Linked DNA regions of Macaca fascicularis. The protein of the gene in region 1 purifies or fractionates together with the protein of each later gene. This does not show direct contact. Links are inferred from orthologs where the notes say so. Each region holds a gene or a part of one and is shown on either strand. Other genes may lie near its edges.

Region 1 (5,914 bases):
GCTTTATGCTTAGCAAACTGTTATGCAATATCCAGACTTAAAATTTTCCGCTGGATTCTAATTCGTAGTATGTGAACATGTTTTCCCCTCTAAAATTATGCTCAATATATATTAAATGATATTTACTTATCTATATTTGAATCACATACATCTTGTTCTACAAGACAGATTCAAACATACTTGAACATATTGAAAAGAGCTATCATTTATTGTAAAGCAATAATATATTATCTTAAACTTAAAAAGAAAGTTCAGTCTTAATAATTACTTATAGATAACAAAGAATAAATAGGTCCTTAATTAATGAATTATTTAATTCAGAAGCAGACAACCTTGCTTAATTTCATCCTATCTGTGGTATGCTTTCTAATCCAAAAGGCTGGCTAGCTTGGAGGATACTTTTGGATTCCCTGTTTCCAAGGTTGGGCCCTGATTCATCATAGGCGTCATCCTATGGGTGCTCCCTGTTACAAAGTCACAATCCAAAAAGCCCAGAAGCCACTGGCATCAAAGGTACTCTCAGTTATTCTCAGTTTCTGAGACTATGGAGACTCACACAATAAGCAATTTTGGCGGGGGCGGGGTGGAACCCACCATCTTGAGGTGCTTTTTTCAGAGCTCAGCCTGGGTGCTATTTTAAGGAAGGAAGCCTTTTCCTTTACAAGGTCAACTTCAGACATCGTCTTGCCTTGAGGATTTGTGTCAGGTCTGTAGTTGGTCCCTTCCCATAGTCCATTTTAGTGTTATCTCAGTATGTTCATGAGCTCCTGTGCCTAAGAATGCTGAGGTTTGGGCCAAGGCAGGTGGAAGTTTTTGTAAAAATGGCTCACATGGCCGGGCGCGGTGGCTCACGCCTGTAATCCCAGCACTTTGGGAGGCCGAGGTGGGCGGATCACGAGGTCAGGAGATCGAGACTATCCTGGCTAACACGGTGAAACCCCGTCTCTACTAAAAACACAAAAAATTAGCCGGGCGTGGTGGCAGGCACCTGTAGTCCCAGCTATTCGGGAGGCTGAGGCAGGAGAATGGCATGAACCCGGGAGGCGGAGCTTGCAATGAGCCGAGATCTGGCCACTGCACTCCAGCCTGGGTGACAGAGCAAGACTCCGTCTCAAAAAAAAAAAAAAAAAAAAAAGACTTGGTCTCAAAAAAAAAAAAAAAAAAAAGGCTCACAGATGTCCCCCATAGGATAACTGCAAGATATCCCCAACACCTTGGCAAAAATTATACACAGATTGGTGTGTAGGAAAGGGTTTAAAAGATCTGGGCAAAACTTAAGCAAAACGCGCCCTGCTACTTGTCACCGGTGAGCCAGGTGAGGGCTTAATTAATCCAGTACTCAATAATTAACCCCCTACTACCCAGTGGATAACTCAAAGCAAGACGAAGTTTTGGTTATACTTTTGAAGTCCCTGTCTTATAAGAGCTCCCCACTTTCCTGCTGCTACTCCTTTGTCCTTGCTGCTGTGTCTCCTGGGATACCCTTTTCACTTTCCTCAGCTGATCCAAACCTGACTTTCCCAGGCCCACATAGGTTTTCCACCTTTTAGTAAGGTTTTCTCAGATCACTCGAGCTTCAGTAGGCCTTCTATCCTTGAACTCTTGCTTCTTGTCCTAACTTAAATCTACTAAACAAGCTTTGTGATCAATTGCTCAGGTATTATTGTCTCCAACTGTTATGTGTACATTTTGTACCCAGGATTCCTTAGTAGATCTTTCTACAATTTGGCCTCAATCTTTTTCACCTGTCCCTTCTCCAAACACCTCAAACCCTGTCACATTTTCCAGCCTTGACAGTTAAAACCCCCCTTTCCACATCACTAATGCCACTCTTCCTTTCAAGATCAACGCAGGCGTCAGCTCTTGGAGGTCAACATCCCATTTCCGGGGTTAGGCGTGAAGGTGCCTTCACTCTTAAGGGGCTGGAAGGATGGAAAGCAACAAGATAATCAACGCCCAAGGCACAGCCACCGTCCCAAGTACTCGTCACACAATACGACAACTGTTTCCTGAACAAACTTTTCTTACACGTGACAGTCCCGATGCCTGCAATGCTGTTTGTTTCTTCCTTTTTATTCCAGCGAACCCATAGTCAGTCTAAAAATCTCAGGTCTCAAGTCGCTTCCTGCAGGAGGCCGCCTCCAAACCTCAGGCTGAGCGCGGTCCCGGTACCCACCGGGGATCTCATAGTTCCCTAAGCACAGAGCATGGCACCAACTAGGTAGCCTGTCAAACAGCCCAGATGTATGTCTTTCCAGACACGCAGTGCCTGCGTTTCCCGGGACAGGGACATGTCTTATCCATTTCTATACATTATAGCTTTGTAAACATGTATCTGTAAGGTCAAAGCGGGAAAAATATTGTTCCTTGCTAGAAATGAGCCTCGCAGGCCACCACACTGTACGAGAGGCCGCCCCTCAGCCGCGGCTTCCGGCCTGACGCAGGATGTACCAAACGTGGAAGCGGAGACGGGGAGGTCTGGGGTGCCAAGCAAGTCCCTTTCCTCCCGACACAGCGTGCAGTAAAGAAAACGGTTATGAGCGTAAAGTGACAGCCTCGGCCGATGGAAATAGGGGGAAGTCCGACACTGAGCCACGAACGCATTCCCGCGCCTCCAAAACCTAGGCCGGGGGCGCTGCAAACCCTTACCGTTACGCGGCCCAGCGCGGCAGACGCTTCCTCCTGCCTCGCACCGCATCACGCGTCTGCACGCTCTTTCTCGGATTCCCGGATGTGGGTGAGTCCATTTGCTCGCGTGCAGGGGAAGTCTGGAGCAGACATTGATTCAATTATTAAAAGTGTGGGGGCAGTGGGCGGAACGAACGCTCCGACTGCTGAGGCTGGACGTAAGCTTAGTGGTGGCGCGCGTGCGCAGTGCACGGCCGAGGTAACGGCGGGAAGGCTGAGGGATGCGCTTGCTGCAGCCGTGTAACCGCCCGTGCGCAAGACGGAAGCGCAAGGGGCGAGCGCGTCCTGGTCCGGAGGCGGCCCAGGCTGCCTTGGTGACTCTGGCTTCGCGGCCTCATGGCTTGCGGCCGGTTCGCGCAACAGTCTGCGAACCACCAGGCGCCTCCCCGCCGGCTCGCGTCCGCCCCGGAGCCCCGTCCCTCGGCCTGGCCCGCTATGCCCTGCACACCGGCGTAGTCCGGCATGGCGCAGCCCGGCGCGCGGTTCGGCCCCGCCAGGTGGTCACAGCGTTTCCTCGGAGGCCGGGTGGCTGGGGGCGCTTCGGAGAGTAGCCAGGTGGGCGGGCGAGCTGCGCCCAGTACTCACCTTTCCCGGCGGACCCACCTTTCTTTTCAGCGGAGGTACCCCTGTGCGGCCTCCCGGCCAGGGCTGCTGTTTAGCTAGCGCTGTTAGGACTACTTCATTCACGGCACAAGGGGACCCGCTCATTTAGGGTGGCATGTTAAGGTTGGCAGCTTTTAAAATAGTGAGTTGGTGTAAACGGTTATGTTTAGTACAGCAGGTACGGAATTATGGCAGAAATCGTGGACTGAAATTGGAGAACCCTGAACTAACTGCTCCATGCACACAGATCAGGGATAGAAAGAAACAAGGACGGTTTCTTAGGAACACTTTAATCATGGAGATACTTGAAGACAGTACATTTAGGCTTATAATGTGGTTTTTTTTATGTCGTATACGACATCAGGAGAGTAAAGATGTGTATGATGTCAGAGACTAGTCATCTTGTATAGTTTAAGCACCGTACACTAATATGCACAAAGTAGTTTTCCCTGAGCTTTATGTCCGGTTAAACTTATTAAAAGAATTTATTCTTTTATAAAGCAGTATTGTAGGGTAGATGCTCTGTATTTATACAGTTCCTCACGTGCTTGCGTTTATTTTTTAGGTAAGAGAAAATCAAGGATCGTTGATTAGATTTCTGTTAGCTGTAGCTTAATAGTAAAACAAAGTATATATATTTTCTTATTTGGAATGCAGTACTATTTTTAGATTAATTTTTGAGATTGCCTTTTGACTGTGGCATGATCAGTGATCAGGGTAGTAAAAAAGGCTCTGAAACTAAAATGGGGTAGAGATTTATAAACAGGCACACTGCCTTTTAAAATGTATGTAGATGCAACTCTAAAAGTTGTTTGTAAAAATTGTATATGTTGATTGTACTGATGCCATTTTCTCTCTTTAAAAGGTGGAATGCCTTTGCTTAGTCCTTTCTGTTCTAATTTACGTTGTGCTGGCAGATGGTGACAGCATCAGTAGTCCACTCTGTCATTGCTTCCTGCTTTCAAAAAATGTCAACTTGATTTGGAATTCAGCTAAAGCCAACATTGACACAAGGTTTCAGGAACTGAATTTCCGATCTTTATGTTATTTTAGTCCCCTGCCCGCCCCCGTCAGGAGCTAGGTCTTTCAGTTTTGCAAAGCCACACTACTGTCATTACACATACACAAATTAATGAAAATTCTCTAATGTCAATGTCCAGTCAGATTACGATTTCTTCAACTCTCTCTTAAATGTCTTTTTTGCAGTTAGCTTGTTTGAACCAAAATCCCACAGGGATCTGCCTGTTGTGTTTGGGTGATGCATATTTGACATCTTTTAATCTATAGCAGTTCCCTCATAGCTATAGCTATGGGATTAGCCCCTATTTTTCCTTACAGTTCTAAATTTAGCAGATTACATTGCACAGTATCCTTTAACAGGTATCTCTGTTGCCTTTATGGCTTCTAAACCAGGGGCCCCCAAACCCGGGGCTGCAGAGCACTACCAGTCCGTGGCCTGTTAGGAACCAGGTTACAGAGCAGGAGGTGAGTGACAGGCGAGTGAGCATTACCTACCAACTGAGCTCTGCCTCCTGTCAGATCAGCTGTGGGGTTAGATTCTCCTAGGAGCATGAACCCTAATGTGAACTGCGCATGCAAGGGATCTAGGTTGCATGCTTATGAGAATCTGACTAATGACTCATGATCTGAGGTGGAACAGTTTCATCATGAAACCATGCCCCTAACCCTTGCCATGTGTATTATTCATATTACTGAAGAAGTGGTTGGCCGGGTGCGGTGGCTCACGCCTGTAATCCCAGCACTTTGGGAGGCTGACGTGGGCGGATCACGAGGTCAGGAGTTCGAGACCAGTCTGGCCAACATAGTGAAACACCGTCTCTACTAAAAATGCAAAAAAGTTAGCCGGGTGTGGTGGTGTGCGCCTGTAATTCCAGCTACTCGGGAGGCTGAGGCAGGAGAATCACGTGAATCCGGGAGGCGAAGGTTGCAGTGAGCTGAGATCACACCGTTGCTCTCCAGACCAGGCTACAGTGTGAGACTGGATCTCAAAAAAAAGAAAATAAATAAACAAATAAAAAGTGGTTTGGCCATTCCTCCCCCAAAACATTTCATATGAATGTTAACAAAAAGATATTTACAAAATTTTTTATTTCCACCCTGTCCGTGTTGAAAAATTTTCTTCCGTGAAACAGGTCCCTGGTGCCAAAAAGGCTGGGGACCACTGCTCTAAACCAGTAGTTAGATGTAGAATTGCACTGTCCAGTATTATAGCCACCAGCCAGCTGTGGGTAATTAAAGTGAAATAAAATTAAAAATTCAGTTCCTAGGCTGGGCGCGGTGGCTCATGCCTGTAATCCCAGCACTTTGGGAAGCCGAGGCGGGCAGATCACGGGGTCAGGAGTTTCGAGACAAGCCTGACCAACATGACGAAACCCCGTATGTACTAAAAATACAAAAATTAGCCGGGCGTGGTTGCCTACAGATTGCCTAGTGGCTACTTTTTGAACAGTGCAGTTATAAAATAGTTTCATAATTGCAGAAAGTTCTATCGAGCACCCTGCTTTAGAAGCCTGATCAGATTTCACCTTTATATTTGTTTTTGTTTTGTTTTTTGGTGGGGTAGTTGGGGGGTTGGGCAGAAAATTTCATAGGTAATGCAATA
Region 2 (5,881 bases), on another chromosome or scaffold:
TGTCTCTACTAAAAATACGAAAATCAGCCAGGCGTGGTGGTGGTCACCTGTAAACCCAGCTACTTGGAAGGCTGAGGGAAAACTGCTTGAACCCAGGAGGCGGAAGCTGCAGTGAGCCGAGATCACGCCACCGCACTCCAGCCTTGGTGACAGAGCGAGACTCAGTCTCCCCCCCAAAAAAAACAACACAACAAAAAAGTATAGTCTAGATGACTTAAGTTCTCTTCAAACTCTGTGATTCTATGTATGTAGTGAGAAATAACCATCTGATGCCTGGATACAAAAGTATTATTACACCCACAGAAGGCATTCTGATACTCATATAACATACATGTCTACTTACACATGCATAAGTTACCTCTGTAATGACACAGGAAAAAATAGTTACTGCCTCTGGAGAAAGGAAATGGTGGGGTGAGGTTCAAGACTCAGGGAAAGATACTGATCTGCATGCCCCTTCTCCACTGTTTGAATTTAACAGTGTCTACTGCCTATTCCACAAGAAATTTTAAAGTATAAACCATGAAGGGCAGAAACCTGAACATGTCCTAAAGCTAGGAAACTGCCAATCTAACCTAACATGAAAAAGCATGGGCTAAACTTAGTCTAGCCAGAGAATTAAACTGTTTCAAACTCTCCTGTAACATCTTTGAGAACTAAGAGCAAGTAGGGCCTAAATCTCCAAACGTGGAAACTATGCTTTGACAAATCACTCAGAACCAAGAACCAAGTGAAAGGTTCCAGAATAAACACAGAAGGCTGACAGAGACCAGGGCTCCTGTCAACATGAAGTGGATGGTGGCAAAATGATGGGTCTCACTAGTAAGGTCCAAAGCACACTAATGAGGCCGGGCTCGGTGGCTCACGCCTGTAATCCAAGCACTTTGGGAGGCCTAAGTCATGGGGATCACTTGAGGTCAGGAGTTCGAGACAAGCCTGGTCAACATGATAAAACTCCATCTCTATAAAAAAAAAAAAAAATTAGCCAGGCGTGGTGGTGCGAATCTGTAATCCCTGTTACTCAGGAGGCTGAGGTGGGAGGATCGCTTGAGCCTGGGAGGTGGAGGCTGTAGTGAGCCAAGATCGCACCACTGCACTCCAGCCTGGGCAACAGAGCAAGACTCTGACTGAAAAGCAAAACAAAACACCAAAGCACACTCATGAAAATCCAATGGGCAGCAGCAGCTGCATTGTAAGCACTTTAAGGACCTTTCCCTTCTGACCTAGACCAGCTTCTATAGCAGGCCAAACACTAATACATCTACAGAGTAGAAGTTTCCATGATAATGCCATTTGGAGGTAGCAGACTGGTGGCTCAGAATGGAGACTCTCCAGTCAGAGAAGACCAGGTCCAGACATTGTACTCCTCCATTTATTAGATGTGTGAACTCAGACAAGGGTATTTCACCTCCCTGAAGTTGTACTCACTTCCTCAACACACTCAATAAGCATGTGAGTGCTTAATGCGCACATCCACTGTGCTTTCAATTGCTAGGCGATGCGAAGGGTAGAAAAGTGGGAGTACCTGAGAGTCCTGGGAGTCAGAGAAGGTTCTCTAGGAGAGATGTTCAGGCTAAAACCTGAAGGAGGAGGCAGCGCTGAGATAAGGACCGTTGCAGCAGGAACAGCAAGTACAAGGGCCCAGAGAACACGCTTGGTACATTCAAATAACACAAAGAGGCCAAGCGCGGTGGCTCACGCCTGTAATCCCAAAATTTTGGGAGGCCGAGGTGGTGGGATCACCTGAGGTCAGGAGTTCAAGACCAGACTGGTCAATATATTGAAACTCCGTTTCTACTAAAATTACAAAAATTACCTGGGCATGTGGCGCTCGCCTGTAATCCCAGCTACTTGGGAAGCTGAGGCAGGAGAATCGCTTGAACCCAGGAGGCGGAGGCTGCAGTGAGCCGAGATCGCGCCACTGAACTCCATCCAGCCTGGGCGACAGAGCAAGGCTCTGTCTCAAAAAAAAACAAAAATAAATAAAAATAAATAAATAACAGAAAGAATAGCCAGAGAGGCTGGAGAGCAGTGAACACAGTAATGAGATGAAGTAGCAGAGAGTGAAGGGCAGATAGTTCCTTTCGGAGGCCATGGGAAATAATTTTCATTAGTGCAATAAATGATTTTTTTTTTTTTTTAAGACGGAGTCTCGCTCTGTCGCCCAGACTGGAGTGCAGCGGCGCGATCTCGGCTCACTGCAAGCTCTGCCTCCCGGGTTCCCGCCATTCTTCTGCCTCAGCCTCCCCAGTAGCTGGGACTACAGGTGCCCGCCACCACACCCGGCTAATTTTTTTGTATTTTTTTAGTAGAGACAGGGTTTCACCGTGTTAGCCAGGATGATCTCGATCTCCTGACCTCGTGATCCGCCTGCCTCGGCCTCCCAAAGTGCTGGGATTACAGGCTTGAGCCACTGCAACCAGCCAGTGAAGGATTTTAAGCAGGAGAGGGACATGTACTTAAGGATGGACACTCAAGGATGGAATCAGCCCAGTGCTTCAATGAAACAAGAAAGGCGCCACGCCCACCCATTAATGGAATCTCCCGTTTCTTTTTTGAGACAGGCTGTCGTTCTGTCGCACACGGTAAAGGACAGTGATGCGATCACGGCTCACTGCAGCCTCGACCTTCTGGGCTCAAGCAATCCTCCTGCTTCAGCCTCCCGAGTAGCTGGGAACTCAGGCACGCACAATCACGCCCGGCTAATTGTTTAATTTTTATTTTTCATAGAGGCAGGGTCTCCCTATGTTGCCCAGGTTAGTCTTAACTCCTGGGCTCAAGCGATCCTCCCGCCTCGGCCTCCCAAAGTGCTGGTATTAGAGGCGTGAGCCATCGCGCCCGGCCCCGTTTTCAGGGGTTTCCCAAGGCGAGAAAGTGGACCCTCCTGATACACTTAATGGGGTGACCAATCTCAGATGCGGGGCTAGAGCATAAAAACCAGGAGGCTGGGTCCCGGAGCTGCAGCGAGAGAAAAAAACGTTCTCTGGAAGGAGCCGAGAGGGGAGGATTCGGCCCAGCGATGTGACAGTCGCGCTACCCCGCGACAGGTGCCTCAGAAAACCCTCGCCTGGGTCGTCCTCAGAGCCTCTGCCTTCTATTTCTCCAAGCCGCCGCTCGCCACATCTCCGCAGGGACTTGACGCCGGCACCCAGTGAACCCAACTTGCGCTCCGAAGTCTGCTCCGCTCCACTACGCCCTCGCAGACGCCGGAGCCTCCGCTGGTGCGGGAGGCCGCTCCTTCCCGCCTGTTCCCGCGTGCCCTGAGCCCCCGGTCCCAGACCACTGCCGCTTTCTCCTCAGCCCCAGGCCGCTCCCCGCCTCAACTCACGGGTTGTTATTGCTCATTGTAAGTAACAAGCTGCTGAGGAGCCGCACGTTGGAGTGCAGCCCCGCGGCCGCCATGTCCCGCACGTGGTCTATCACATTCATCCTGCCCTGCAAGGCCGCGGGCAGCGGCGGCAGCACTGTCTCGAAAAACCGGTAAGGGATCCTTAGGGAAGACTCCAAAATGGCCGCGTCGCCGGGGTCCATCGGGTCCACACGCGGCACCGCCCCCAAGCAAAAGGTAACTACTGAAGTGCCCGAATAAAAAGAAACTCGAGTCCCTGCTCCTGTCGTGGTCCCTTTCCGGTGAAATGAGTTGTTACTTTTACGCAAAAATTACGTCATCATCCTAAACTGCAAAATTTACTGAGGACTTACAATGAGACAAAAGTCACCTTAGTAAGACTACTTGGTCAATTTGAATGAGTCTGAGAGGAATTTGGGCCTCTCAGAAATTAAAATGTGTGAGCACTTACCAGAAATAAAATATAGTAAGGTGAGGAAAAGCGCTCCAACTGGAATTAAATATTCTAATCGGGCGCCAGGGACAGACCTAACGGCTTTTACAGTCGCGCATGCGCACCAGGCAGGGGCCGCCGCCTCCCTGCTCAGGTGTTTTGTGTTCCTGCTAAAGTCAGGCTTTGTCCCTGGATGAACTTGTTAATTCGAGGGGCGTATTTTACCATGTAAAATGATTCCCTAAATCCGTGGAAATAAAGACTAGATCCAGGAATTAGCTGATACCCATATAAACCAGCATGTGTCTGGCACAGTTAACTTTTTACAAAAGTTTTACACAAGTTATTGGACGTTCACAACAATCCATAAAGTTGAAGTTGTCTTTCCCTTCTCACAAGGGAAGAAACTGCCTGCTTAAATTTTGTGCTCAGGTTGTTAAATGGTTGACTTGGAATCAGATCGCCAGTGGTTAAATGTGATGGATCGCAAACTCGAATGTATACAGAGACCAGGGAGGTAACTGAGCCAATGAGGCAGTTTAGGTATTTGAATCAGAATCCCAATATCCTCCACAATCACCCTCTCAGATATAGCCTTTCGCTCCTTTCTTGAAGGAGACAGTTGTTTTGGTCTATATTTTGTTTTCATTTGATTTTTAGAGTAACAGATGCAAAAAAAAAAATGCTCTGAAAAAATCACGGTATATCTTCACCAGTCAACTTTTTCAGCTCTTACATTTTGTCACAGTTGAAGCTCCTGTGATCCTTTTCCCATCTCATCCCCTACTCTAGTTTTCTGGATGTATGAGACCTTTGATGTGATTTTGGTAGGCATGATCACTGTGAACTTTTCTTTTTTTTTTGAGATGGAGTTTTGCTTTTGTCGCCCAGGTTGGAGTTCAAAATCTCAGCTCACTGCAACCTCTGCCTCCCGGGTTCAAGTGATTCTCCCTGCCTCAGCTTCCTGAGAAGCTGGGATTACAGGCACCTGCCACCACTGTCACGCACGTCCGTGTGAAGAAACCACCAAACAGGCTTTGTGTGAGCAACAAGGCTGTTTATTTCACCTGGGTACAGGTGGGCATGTAGGAGGATGAGCCGCAGACAAAACTCCTCAGACACCAAATTAAAGAAGGAAGGAGTTTATTCGGCCAGGAGCATTGGCAAGGCTCCTGTGTCAAGAGCTGAGCTCCCTAAGTGAGCAATTCCTGTCCCTTTTAAGGACTCACAACTCTAAGGGGGTCCATGTGAGAGGCTCATGATCGATTGAGCAAGCAGCGGGTACGTGACAGGGGCTGCATGCACTGGTGGTCAGAGTGAAACAGAACAGACCGGGAAGTTTCACAATGTCTTTCTATAATCTATAGATAACATTAGTTGCTAGGTCAGGGGTCGAATTTTAACTACCAGGCTTAGGTAAGGCAGGCCCAGGCCTGGTTTTGGGTCTGGTTCCTTGGTTTTTGGTCTGGTTCCTAGGTGCCGGGTTACCTGCTTTTTGTTTTGCTTTTCTTTCCTTTTCTGAGTTTAAAACAATATAAAACCATATGAGAGGCTGGGCGCAGTGGCTCATGCCTGTAATCCCAGCACTTTGGGATGCCAAGGCAGGTGGATCACCTGAGGTCGGGAGTTCAAGACCAGCCTGACCAACATGGAGAAACCCCTTCTCTACTAAAAATACAAAATTAGCTGGGCATAGTAGCACATGCCTATAATCCCAGCTACTAGGGAGGCTGAGGCAGGAGAATTGCTTGAACCTGGGAGGCGGAGGTTGCGGTGAGTCAAGATCGTGCCATTGCACTCCAGCCTGGGCAACAAGAGTGAAACTCCGTCTCAAAAAAAAAAAAAAAACACCTATATGAGAAGGTCTGTCTGTCTTCTCTCAGGCTGAGTTCAAAAACAGAGTCAGCAAAGGGAGATAGGGGTGGGGCCGTTTTATAAGACTTGGGTAGGTAGTGAAAAATTACAGTTAAAGGGGGTTGTTCCCTGGCGGGCAGGGGCAGGGGTCACAAGGTGCTCAGTGGGGGAGCTTCTGAGCCAGGAGAAGGAATCTCACAAGGTCATGTCATCAGTAAAGGAAGGAACAGCCATTTTCACTTCTT

Evidence for each region. The genes of interacting proteins can lie anywhere in the genome.
Region 2: the proteins of ANAPC13 (region 1) and ANAPC7 purify together in Homo sapiens (affinity purification with mass spectrometry; 3 studies listed by BioGRID and IntAct, counting the BioPlex papers as one, with this or other methods). This does not show direct contact. The link is inferred for Macaca fascicularis from reciprocal best matches to the Homo sapiens genes ANAPC13 and ANAPC7.

The regions. Positions count from the first base shown.
Region 1 is NC_088376.1:37,392,315-37,398,228, forward strand, and holds the start of ANAPC13 (anaphase-promoting complex subunit 13), read right to left. Parts: upstream 3,381-5,914; 5' UTR 3,274-3,380; intron 3,244-3,273; coding exon of another isoform or gene 2,910-3,243; exon of another isoform or gene 2,738-2,909; coding exon of another isoform or gene 2,564-2,737; exon of another isoform or gene 2,029-2,563; intron 1-2,028. Other genes in the region: CEP63 (centrosomal protein of 63 kDa), read left to right, coding at 2,910-3,185. UniProt on the Homo sapiens protein: Component of the anaphase promoting complex/cyclosome (APC/C), a cell cycle-regulated E3 ubiquitin ligase that controls progression through mitosis and the G1 phase of the cell cycle.
Region 2 is NC_088385.1:117,272,942-117,278,822, forward strand, and holds the start of ANAPC7 (anaphase-promoting complex subunit 7), read right to left. Parts: upstream 3,523-5,881; 5' UTR 3,430-3,522; coding exon 3,329-3,429; exon of another isoform or gene 2,529-3,328; intron 1,581-2,528; exon of another isoform or gene 1,526-1,580; intron 1-1,525. UniProt on the Homo sapiens protein: Component of the anaphase promoting complex/cyclosome (APC/C), a cell cycle-regulated E3 ubiquitin ligase that controls progression through mitosis and the G1 phase of the cell cycle.